2 linked regions of the Canis lupus familiaris genome follow. The protein of the gene in region 2 purifies or fractionates together with the protein of the main gene of each other region. This does not show direct contact. Links are inferred from orthologs where the notes say so. Each region holds a gene or a part of one and is shown on either strand. Other genes may lie near its edges.

What was found. Proteins that work in one complex are often made in the same cells at the same time.
Region 1: the proteins of EGFR (region 2) and STAT5B purify together in Homo sapiens (affinity purification with western blotting; 3 studies listed by BioGRID and IntAct, with this or other methods). This does not show direct contact. The link is inferred for Canis lupus familiaris from reciprocal best matches to the Homo sapiens genes EGFR and STAT5B.

Annotation. Positions count from the first base shown.
Region 1 is NC_049230.1:20,520,727-20,525,452, forward strand, and holds the start of STAT5B (signal transducer and activator of transcription 5B), read left to right. Parts: upstream 1-1,778; 5' UTR 1,779-1,942; intron 1,943-2,247; exon of another isoform or gene 2,248-2,499; intron 2,500-4,726. UniProt on the Homo sapiens protein: Carries out a dual function: signal transduction and activation of transcription. Mediates cellular responses to the cytokine KITLG/SCF and other growth factors. Binds to the GAS element and activates PRL-induced transcription.
Region 2 is NC_049239.1:6,096,239-6,100,737, reverse strand, and holds part of EGFR (epidermal growth factor receptor), read right to left. Parts: intron 2,957-4,499; coding exon 2,805-2,956; intron 1,952-2,804; coding exon 1,768-1,951; intron 1-1,767. UniProt on the Homo sapiens protein: Receptor tyrosine kinase binding ligands of the EGF family and activating several signaling cascades to convert extracellular cues into appropriate cellular responses.

The sequences.
Region 1 (4,726 bases), on a different chromosome or scaffold from region 2:
CTTTCAAAGCCCTATACATGTATTATCTCACTTAATTCCACAACAATGCTACAAGGTAGGTCCTATGACCATCACCACATGACAATGAGGAAATCTAGGCCAAAAACTTGCTCAAGCAGTTGACAGCAAGTCTGGTTTTAGATTCCTTGCTCTTAATTACTACACAGTCCTCCTGATTTCCATTTCTATTCTTAGAGTATAGGGTTTGTTCCTCAAATATTTATTGGGTGTCTGCTCTGGGCTGGGCATGGGATGGACTTAAATGGGATATTGTGTGCTGTCAGGGGTAGAGAGATACATAAACAAGACATTGTCCTTCAACACAAGAGGTGCCACGATCAAGGCATGAACATCATGTGATGGGAGACAGGGAGAGGGAAGTTCTCACTGCCTAGACAGAGGGCAGACATCTAGAGGGCAGGACCACATTCCAGGCAAAGGGAACAGCATGTGTGCAGATGGGAAAACTTACAAGGAGAAATATGGTATACTCAAGTGCCAAAACATCTTGCACAGGGACCATCAGAGGGGTGCCAGAGAGCTCAGAGCTGGTGTTTCCGTCCAGCTTCCTGCTCCAGCCTGTCCTGCTCTAACCTCCAGGTGCCCCGCACCTACTCTGGGCAAAGCACTGTGCCAGGTGTTGGCCCAAAGTGTGGGATAGAAGCAGTTGCCTAGGTGGGGGTGGGGGGGAGGGAGGACTTTGTGATCAGCTACAGACACAAAGATCTTTGTGGTTGGTGCCATTCTGGAGGTAAAGGGAAGGCTGCTGGGAAGAGCTGCCAAAGGAGGTTTATGGGAGAAGTTGGGGCCTTGCAGATCTCGATCATCTCTTGACATGAAGATTTTTCAGACTGTGAGGAAGGAAAGCTCGGTGTCTCTGTGTAAGGTCCTCCTTCTGCCCCTGCAGCTAGGTTTCTGGAGATCTGACACGTCTTGCTTTGGTGCTGGCCCTTGGAGGGTTGCCAGGGAAACGGCTGGCCAGCTCCAGAGATATAGCCAGAAGAGAGGAGAGTGGGTGACTCAGGCTCACAGGACACCACACCCCCTCCCCATTACACGGAAGAGGCTCTCAGAGACCCCTTTCCTCTGGATCTTACAGAGGCGATCGTGTTTATTCTTCCCTTTCTTGGTAGAGCAGTCCTTCCCTCCCCGCAGCTCTGACTGGTGGGAGCTAGCAAGAGTCCCCAGGGAGGGAAATGGTGTCAGACGCCCCCCCCCCCCATTCACTCTGGAACAGTGGACGCATCCAGTTGGCCTGGGCGAGTGTAAACTCCTGCTGTGCCCATTCAGGCTTTCCGCCCGGGGGGTAAGCAGGCAGCCCTGGCTGAAACGCCCTCCAGGGAGCAAACCCGGGATAATTATTGATGGGGCAGCGGTGGACTTCTGACCTGGGCCTGGGAGGGACAGGCCCCGGAACGCGGGCCTCGGCCCGGGGGAAGGGCGGGTGGCGGGCCGCGGAGGGGGGCCAGTCGACGCGACCCCAAGAGTCGGCGGCGGGCGCTGCTCGCGGTGGTCGAGCGACCCAAACAAAGCAGCATGTGCTGGCGGCCCAGTGGGACCCGGCTCGGGGCCCGGGAGGGGCGCCTCTCGCAGCGGCGACAAGGGGCCGCGCGCGGCGCCCGCCCCTCCCCCACGCCGGCGCGCCGGGGGGTTCCGGGTCCCTCCCCGGCGGCCGCGGCCCGGGTGCGAGGGGCCACGGGGCTCACGAGCGCGCGCCGGGCGGAACCAGGAAGCGGCGCGCGCTGGCGCGGGGCGCGCTCGGGCCGCGGTGCGCGAGCGGCGCGCGCGCCCCCGCGGGCCCCGGCGTGAGGAGACACGGCGGCCGGAGCCGTCACCCCGGGCGGGGACCCTGCGCAGGCGGCTACGCGCGGCGGCCCGGCCGAGGGAAGCAGCGAGCGGGCGGGCGGCGGCGGCGGCGGCTGGCGCCCGGAGGGCCGACGAGGTAGGAGCTGCTGGGCGAGCGCTGGGCTCGGGGCCGGGGAGCGAGGCCGGGGAGCCTGCACGGGCGGGGCCCCGCGCCCTGGCCGCCCAGACGCCCGCAGGGCCGCGCCGCCGCCGCCATCGCTCCCCGGGCCGCGGGGGCTGCGCGCCGGGGTCGGGGGCGCGGGGGGCGCCGGGGCACGCGAGGGGCGTCGTGCCGAGGCGGGGGCGGGCGGAGGGGGTCGAGCGGGGGGGCGGTGCGGGCGCGCGTGCCGGGGTGGGCGTGTGAAGGGCCCGGCGCCGACCCCTGCCGGCGGAGGGGGCTGCTGGCGTCCACCCCGCGCCTCCCGGTTGCGGTGCCAGGCAGCCCCTGGCGGCTCCTTGCCTTGCCTCCTGTTTCAGAAGGGGGATCTGCGACTCCCGGGGTGGGATGAGCCCGGGGGTGCCCGGTGGGGTGAGGAGGTGTTAGGCAAGCCTCAAGGAACAGTGCCTTATAAGGAGTCAAGACAACAAATACGAACGTTTCGATCCGGCTCTGGGGTCCGGGATCCCACATCAGGACCCGCCAGGCCCCGGCTGGTGAGTGTGGCAGCGGGATGCGGCATGCTTTGTGTTTTTTTTTTTCTTTCTTTCTTCTTTCTTTCTTTCTTCTTCTTTCTTTCTTTCTTTCTTCTTTTTCATTTTCTTTCTTTCTTTCTTATCTTTCTTTCTTTCTTTTCTTCTTCTTTTTTTTTTCTTTTTTTTTTTTGCTAGCCAGGGATAGTAAAAAAAAAAAAAAAAAAAAAAAAAAAAAAAAAAGCCCTGGTGTCGGGGGTAGATATGGAGAGTCGGAAGGCAAGTCGTGGTGTCACAAAAGCTGGTCTGAGGCTAAAGGAATCTGGCACGATGGTCAGGCTGATCAAAGAAGAGAAAAGAACTTGTGTGGAGCAAGAGGCGTTTGCAAACACTTGTAGCTAGCAGTGATGGAAAAGGCAAAGAAGAAAAACAAGTGCCAGCTTTTAGGAAGATGGGATTAATGAAAACCACAAGAATGTGAAAGGCAGAAACAGAAGGGATCCTTCCCAGTTCTTGTTCTTGTCCCTCGTGAGCCTGTCAGACCTTTGTATCAGATAAATAGTACTAAAAGTGGGTCATAGAATGTTGGAGCTGGAAAGGACCCTGGGATTATGCTACATTCTCTTATTGTACAAATGAGGAAATTGAGGTCCCAGGTAGATGGAGTAAGTGGCCTGCTCTGTTGTCGCAGCTGTTCAGTCCTTCTGGGGCTGAAATGTCGGGTTGAGGACTCTCAGGTCAGTGCTCTGCCCAAAGCACTGTGCAGTAGATATTTACCTAAATACAGTTCCATTAATTGTCGCTGGAATGTCCTCGGGGAATGCCCCTTGGAAGGGCTAGTGTGTCACCAAATTATTAAACAGGTTTATGTCTTTTTTTTTTTTCCCAGTCTTCAAATGGTGTTTATCATCTACTGGTATCTTAGGTTTCCAAAGTGTTTGGATAGCCGCCTGGGCCATAATAAGCTTTCAGCTGTTGCGTATATTATCTCAGATAATTTTGTTATTGTTCAATGGAGATAGCATAACTTTGCTTTTTTTCTCAACTTTCTTGTTATTTGTTTGTTTATATTTATCAGCTAGTAGGAGAGGATGTGTTTTATTTCATGTGCCTTTCATGTTTTTCTAATTTTATTTTGTAACACTGAACATTGGATCAGTTCTGATAATTTCAGATAGTGGAATCCTATTGATTGATTGACTTTTTATCGAGGCTTTGAGTTTTTTGTTTTGGTACCAATTTCCATCTCATGGCAGATTATAGTTGTTAGAATTGATAGTGTAACGGGGAGAAGGGGCTTCTGATTTTAAGAAAAATTTACCATTTGGCAGTTTATGATGTCATGTTTAAGTAAAACACTACACCTTTGGTCAGGTAAGTGTCATCTCGTAGATTACTTGTTTTCCAGAGCCTTTCAGAAGATGAAAATTTCAAGTGCCTGGTTGAGACACAGGGAAGGATTGGAGAGAGCTTTCTTCAAAAAAGCAAAACCTCAGAAAAAAAAAGTTGATTTCTATCACTAGCAGTTTGGTTATTGCATAACTTGGAGCTGAACTACATAAAATCTTTGCTGTATACCCAACTCCATAAATTATCCAGCCTTCTCTCTTGTCCTGGCTTTTTCAGCATTCATGTTTTTGCCAACAGGATATTTTGGATTGTGTTAAGAAATTTAAGGTGGATATATTTCTTCCATGGGTACTTCGTGATATATATGATAGAAAGGGGGGAAAAAGTGCTATCATTGTTTGGAGTGTTACAACATAAATATTTTGGTCAGCACTTCCTATTGTGCCCCAACTTCTCATTTCATCTTCATTTTCTGGCTCTCAATTGATTTTTTTTAAGTGTTATTTACATATGCAGAAACCACATCAAGACTAGTAAAGGGTGCCATTTATTTATTTATTTATTTTTTTTTAAGGGTGCCATTTATTGCTCTTCTGGTACTGATGTCAAGTTTTTCAAGTTATATTAGTGTTAGTATTCAAACTATTTGATTTGTGTTAGGTTTATATTTATGAATGTGCTTGTGGTGGTTCATTTGACTTGTTTTTGTGTAGGTAGGTGATCGAGGTAATCTTATAAAGGGAAGATGTTATAAATAGGTAAATAACATGCAAGATTAGATTGCAAGTTGAAGGTAGAATCAAAGGAAACTTAACTATTCTAGTGCCCTGTAAACATATATGAATCTCAAAAGTGTTCACAGATTTCTGGATATTCTAACTACCAGTGAGACATTTTTGCC
Region 2 (4,499 bases):
AACATTTAGTCAGGAGGCAGCCAGAGTCAAGAGGATAAATCTCTGCTGAGAGGTCAGACCCGAAACACAACGTAGGGGCGTTAAGGCTGCTGTGACACTCAGGACAACAGACCACGGTGCCAGGAGAGAATGCACGATGGAGGGTCAAGGGGGGGCCTTACAAAACACCTACAACCTGCAAATGTGAGAAGTAAAAGGAAGGCAGCAAAGGTCCTGGACGATCCAGGTGCCCCTGACTGGTAGCTTGGCAGAGGAAGAGGTCATCAGTCTGGCAGCAGTCACTTTTATTTTTACTTTCAGTATTTGATGATTTTATACTTTGTGGTGGGCACTGAGTTAATTATTAACAACGGTGCTTCATTACTACTAAATAATTCACATAGAATAAGGATTTAATAACATTAAATAATCTGCCTTCATGTGATCCCATGCCAACAACAGAAATAATACCAACAACAGGAATAACTCCTAAGTGCTTTTTCCACAGAAATTCACTTAATTTTCTCAACACCCCCAGGAAGTGTGTTACCATTGTTATGCACGTTTTTTAAAGAGGAGGAAACTGAGACACAGGGAGGATCTGCTCCAGGGGCATCTGGCTGGTGAGTGACAGAGCCAGGGCTAGAACCCAGACATCCTGGCTCCGGGGTCCATGCTCTTAACCACATCTGCCTGTCACCACGAGATAGCACGAGGCCAGACGGGCAGATTGAGGCATGCTCAATGTACAGACCATTTTGCAAAACGTGTAAATAGCACAAATTAGTATTAGCATAAACGCAGACCATGTGGGTGGGTGTTCTGAGCAGCTAAAGTGGTGGGTGGAAAGTCTTCGGGCAGTTTTACAGGATGGCCAACCCCAGGAGCCCAGCTGGAGGGCTGTGCCAGCCGCTTCTGAGCTCGGTCTGGATGCATCACCTCATCCCAGCACATCCATTGTGGGGCTCCTACCGTTCCCAGGACCCCCTCTGTTACGCACCCTCTGCTCTCGTCCCCCTCTTCCTGATGGGCTCCCTTCCCGTCACAACCGCACAGCACATGGGAAGGGCGAGGACCCTGGGGGCAGAGCTTTGGTGGCCATTCCTGGCCATTTTTTCACTAACGTGGGACCTTGGGAGAATGACTTTACCACCATTTCTTTATGTGTAAGATGGTGGGAGTGTAAACACCCGCGTTGAAGGGTGGGCGTGAAGTTGCTGATGCAATGGGATGGGCACTGCACCTGCCACACAGCAAGGGCATGCTCCTCATTATCTTCAATTTTATTTAAATCAACTTCCTATCCCTTCTATCATCTTAGCTTCCACTTGAGGGACCTTCACGAGGGACCTACTCCCAGGAATTCAAAGTTCTTCTGCAATACCGTCATCCTCTGTTCTTCTGTATTACAGCATTGCTCTGAAGACTGTCCCAAGTAGGGGAGGTTTTTGATGTATGTCCCTTACACCTGAGGTCCAGGTATTAGGATTGGCAGTTTATTCAGCCAAGGTCATCTGGTCTCTATGTCCCAGAACCATTACCATTTCTTACTCACTCTCTGAATATTTCCCCACGAATATAGGAGAAGTGGTACCGGGTTTAAAACTTCCCTTCCCTCTCCATCACCTACTGTCTTCTTAGTCACTTCCACCTACTGCACCTTGCCCAGAGCTGGTGCTCAATACATTTGTATTTGATGAATAAAAGTCTTCTCTGAGTGGCACTAAAAAATATTTTGGTCTGAGCTGCTGTCTGCAGCCCCATCCTCCCGGTGCCCTGGCCTCTCACCATGCAAGTTTCTCAGGGGAAGCTCCTGCAGTCCAGTTTTATTTGAGCCATAGTTGGAGAGGACGGATAAGGCATGGGTGTTTTCATAGAGCACATTTCCTCGGATGATCTGCAGGTTTTCCAAAGGAATCTTCTCCACCGTGTTGAGGGCAATCAATACATACCCGGCAACTTCCTGGATGGTCTAAGGAGATCAAATGTCAATGTGTTATTTCTCTTGTCAAGAGCTCAAATATGCAAGGTCTAAAATGGGTCAAGAAAGCCCAGAACACCTAAGCCAACCACGCACGCGAGTGACTGACAACTATAAAGCAGGTGGATGACTACAGTGAGGATAGGGGAGGTGACAGGGTTTACGATGACTCAGGTACTTCTGCCTCTAGAGCCTGCTGGTGATTATAAAGGGCAACGTGCATTATTTAGCAAAGCTCTGACTCTCGTTTCACTTGGTGTTCACTATGCTCAGAAGAAAATGAAATCGTTTTATCTATTCGTGTTGTATCCGTCTTGCACACTTTCTTATAAAAAGCAACACAGAACCCAGAAAGCCAATCAAACCCAGAGTTCAACTACCACCCAACTCCAAAGCTTTCAGAGCTGGCTCCTGGTGGCTCACGAGAGCCCACCATGAGACATGTGGGAAATGGAAGGAGCGATGCAGCTGGGATTCAACTAGAGGGGGAGTGTTTACACCAAGGAAATGGGAAAATGCTACAAAGTAGGACTTTGTCTTTTTCTCAAAGAGCCAATATCCCAGGATACCACAGCGACAGCAATGGTTAAATGCTTAATATCAGTGTCTCTGATGATAGTGAAACAGCAGGCCAGCCTGTTTCTCTCTGACACTATTTCGTAGCTCTGACTTGACACTAGCTGGTGAAGTGGTTTTCTGATAAAACTTGCATCTGTAGTTCCCCCAGGACACATAACTGCTGTAGCAAAAGCAAATACACTTCCAACTACATTATCTCAAGGTCCTTATCTCCTTATATTTCCTTCTATCCTTTGGGTAAGACAATCAAATTGACTGAACTAACCTTTAAGAAGGAAAGGTCATAATTCCTTTGCATGTAGGTAATTTCCAAATTCCCCAGGACCACCTCACAGTTATTGAACATCCTCTGAAGGCTCAGAAAGTGGTCTTCAAAAGTGCCCAACTGGGTGAGCCGGTTACTCGTGCCTTGGCAGACTGCAAAAAAGGGAGAAAAAAAAGGTTTTACGTGAAATGCCAAGTAGCAAAACTAAAATAAAATGTTCACAAATTTCAACTAACTGCGAGTTTTAGCGACTTACAATCTTAATTCTGATAAAAGGTCACTAGGATGAATGCGACAAGAAAATGTTTGTGTATGTAAGATACAGTTTGCGATAAGAGATAGCTCATCCCTATAATGCACGGAATCATTTGAAATGTTAAAAATTCAAGGGGAAATTCGATGAAAATCTTTAAGACAAAAATAGTCTTTTAAAAAAAAAAGATTTATTTATTTGAGAGAGATAGAAAGAGCACAAGTCTGAGAGGGAAGAGGGGTAGAGGGAGAGAGAATCTTACGCAGAGCTTGACCAGGGATCGATCTCACGACCCTGAGATCACAACCCGAGCCAAAACCAAGAGTCAGACGCTCCACCATTGCACCCAGGTGCCCCAAGACAAAATAGTCTTTTAGAGCTTTAGTAGACAAAAAAAATGTGTATCATAGGGTATTTATATAATGCAATTACAATGTTGAATTAGTACCTCCATAATGAACTTTTTACTTTACAAAATACAATTATCACATTACTGCGTGTCCGAGGGATATTTACGAACGTAACAGACGCCGGCCGATATTTTCTGACCACAAGGTTGTACAGCTTAAAATCGACGGCAAAAGTGTAGATGAAAATCCAACTGGCCAGAGATTATAAATATTCTTCTCGACTAACGCATCAAAGAACAAATCAAAGGCCTAATTATCCATCCAGAAAATAATGACGCGGAAACATACATTTCAAAACACACTCAACTGAGAAGCCAACCCGTGCTTCTGTTTGTCCACACGCCGTGCGAATCCTCCCAGAACAGGTGGAGGTGCAACTGCTTTGCATTCTTTGGCAGGACACAGCCTTGGCACGCTGAACTCCCTCATGTTCTAACTTCGTACAAGAAACAGTTTAAATTAGGGGACCAAGGTAGATTACGGCACTACAGCCGTCGGTCTATCTTTAAAAGCACAGGAGATTATAATAAAGTCATCTTTACAAACCTGGCTCTTTGAAAGACGTGTTTCAGCAAGCATAGCCAAACAAAGAGGTCTGGGGCTTTTGAAGCAGGGAGCTTGTTAAGGGACTATATACTTTGAACCAAAATTATCGTAAGAGTGAAGAAATATGGCCTGTGGCTTTGGAGGGTAGGTTCAGCGCGAGCCAGGTTCTTCCGCACGGGCACAGGCGCGACCGCAGCGGTGGCCAGGTGGCTGGACACGAAACAAGGCCAGAGTCAAGACGCAGGTACTTTCCCGGGAGACTCTTTCCACATTTACATTTCTATTTTGCAGGCATCTCTGTTCCTTCCCCACGGGAACTGCGTCACCTGACCGTCTGCCCTTGCGTTTTGGTGCCACGGCAGCGAGCACATGTTCAGACACCACATCATCAACCCCATGCACTGACACTGACATTAAATATGAAGCAATCGCCACATCCTCTTGAACTCTATGGGGATTTCCCTCTTCTGTGGCCTCCTTCAAATC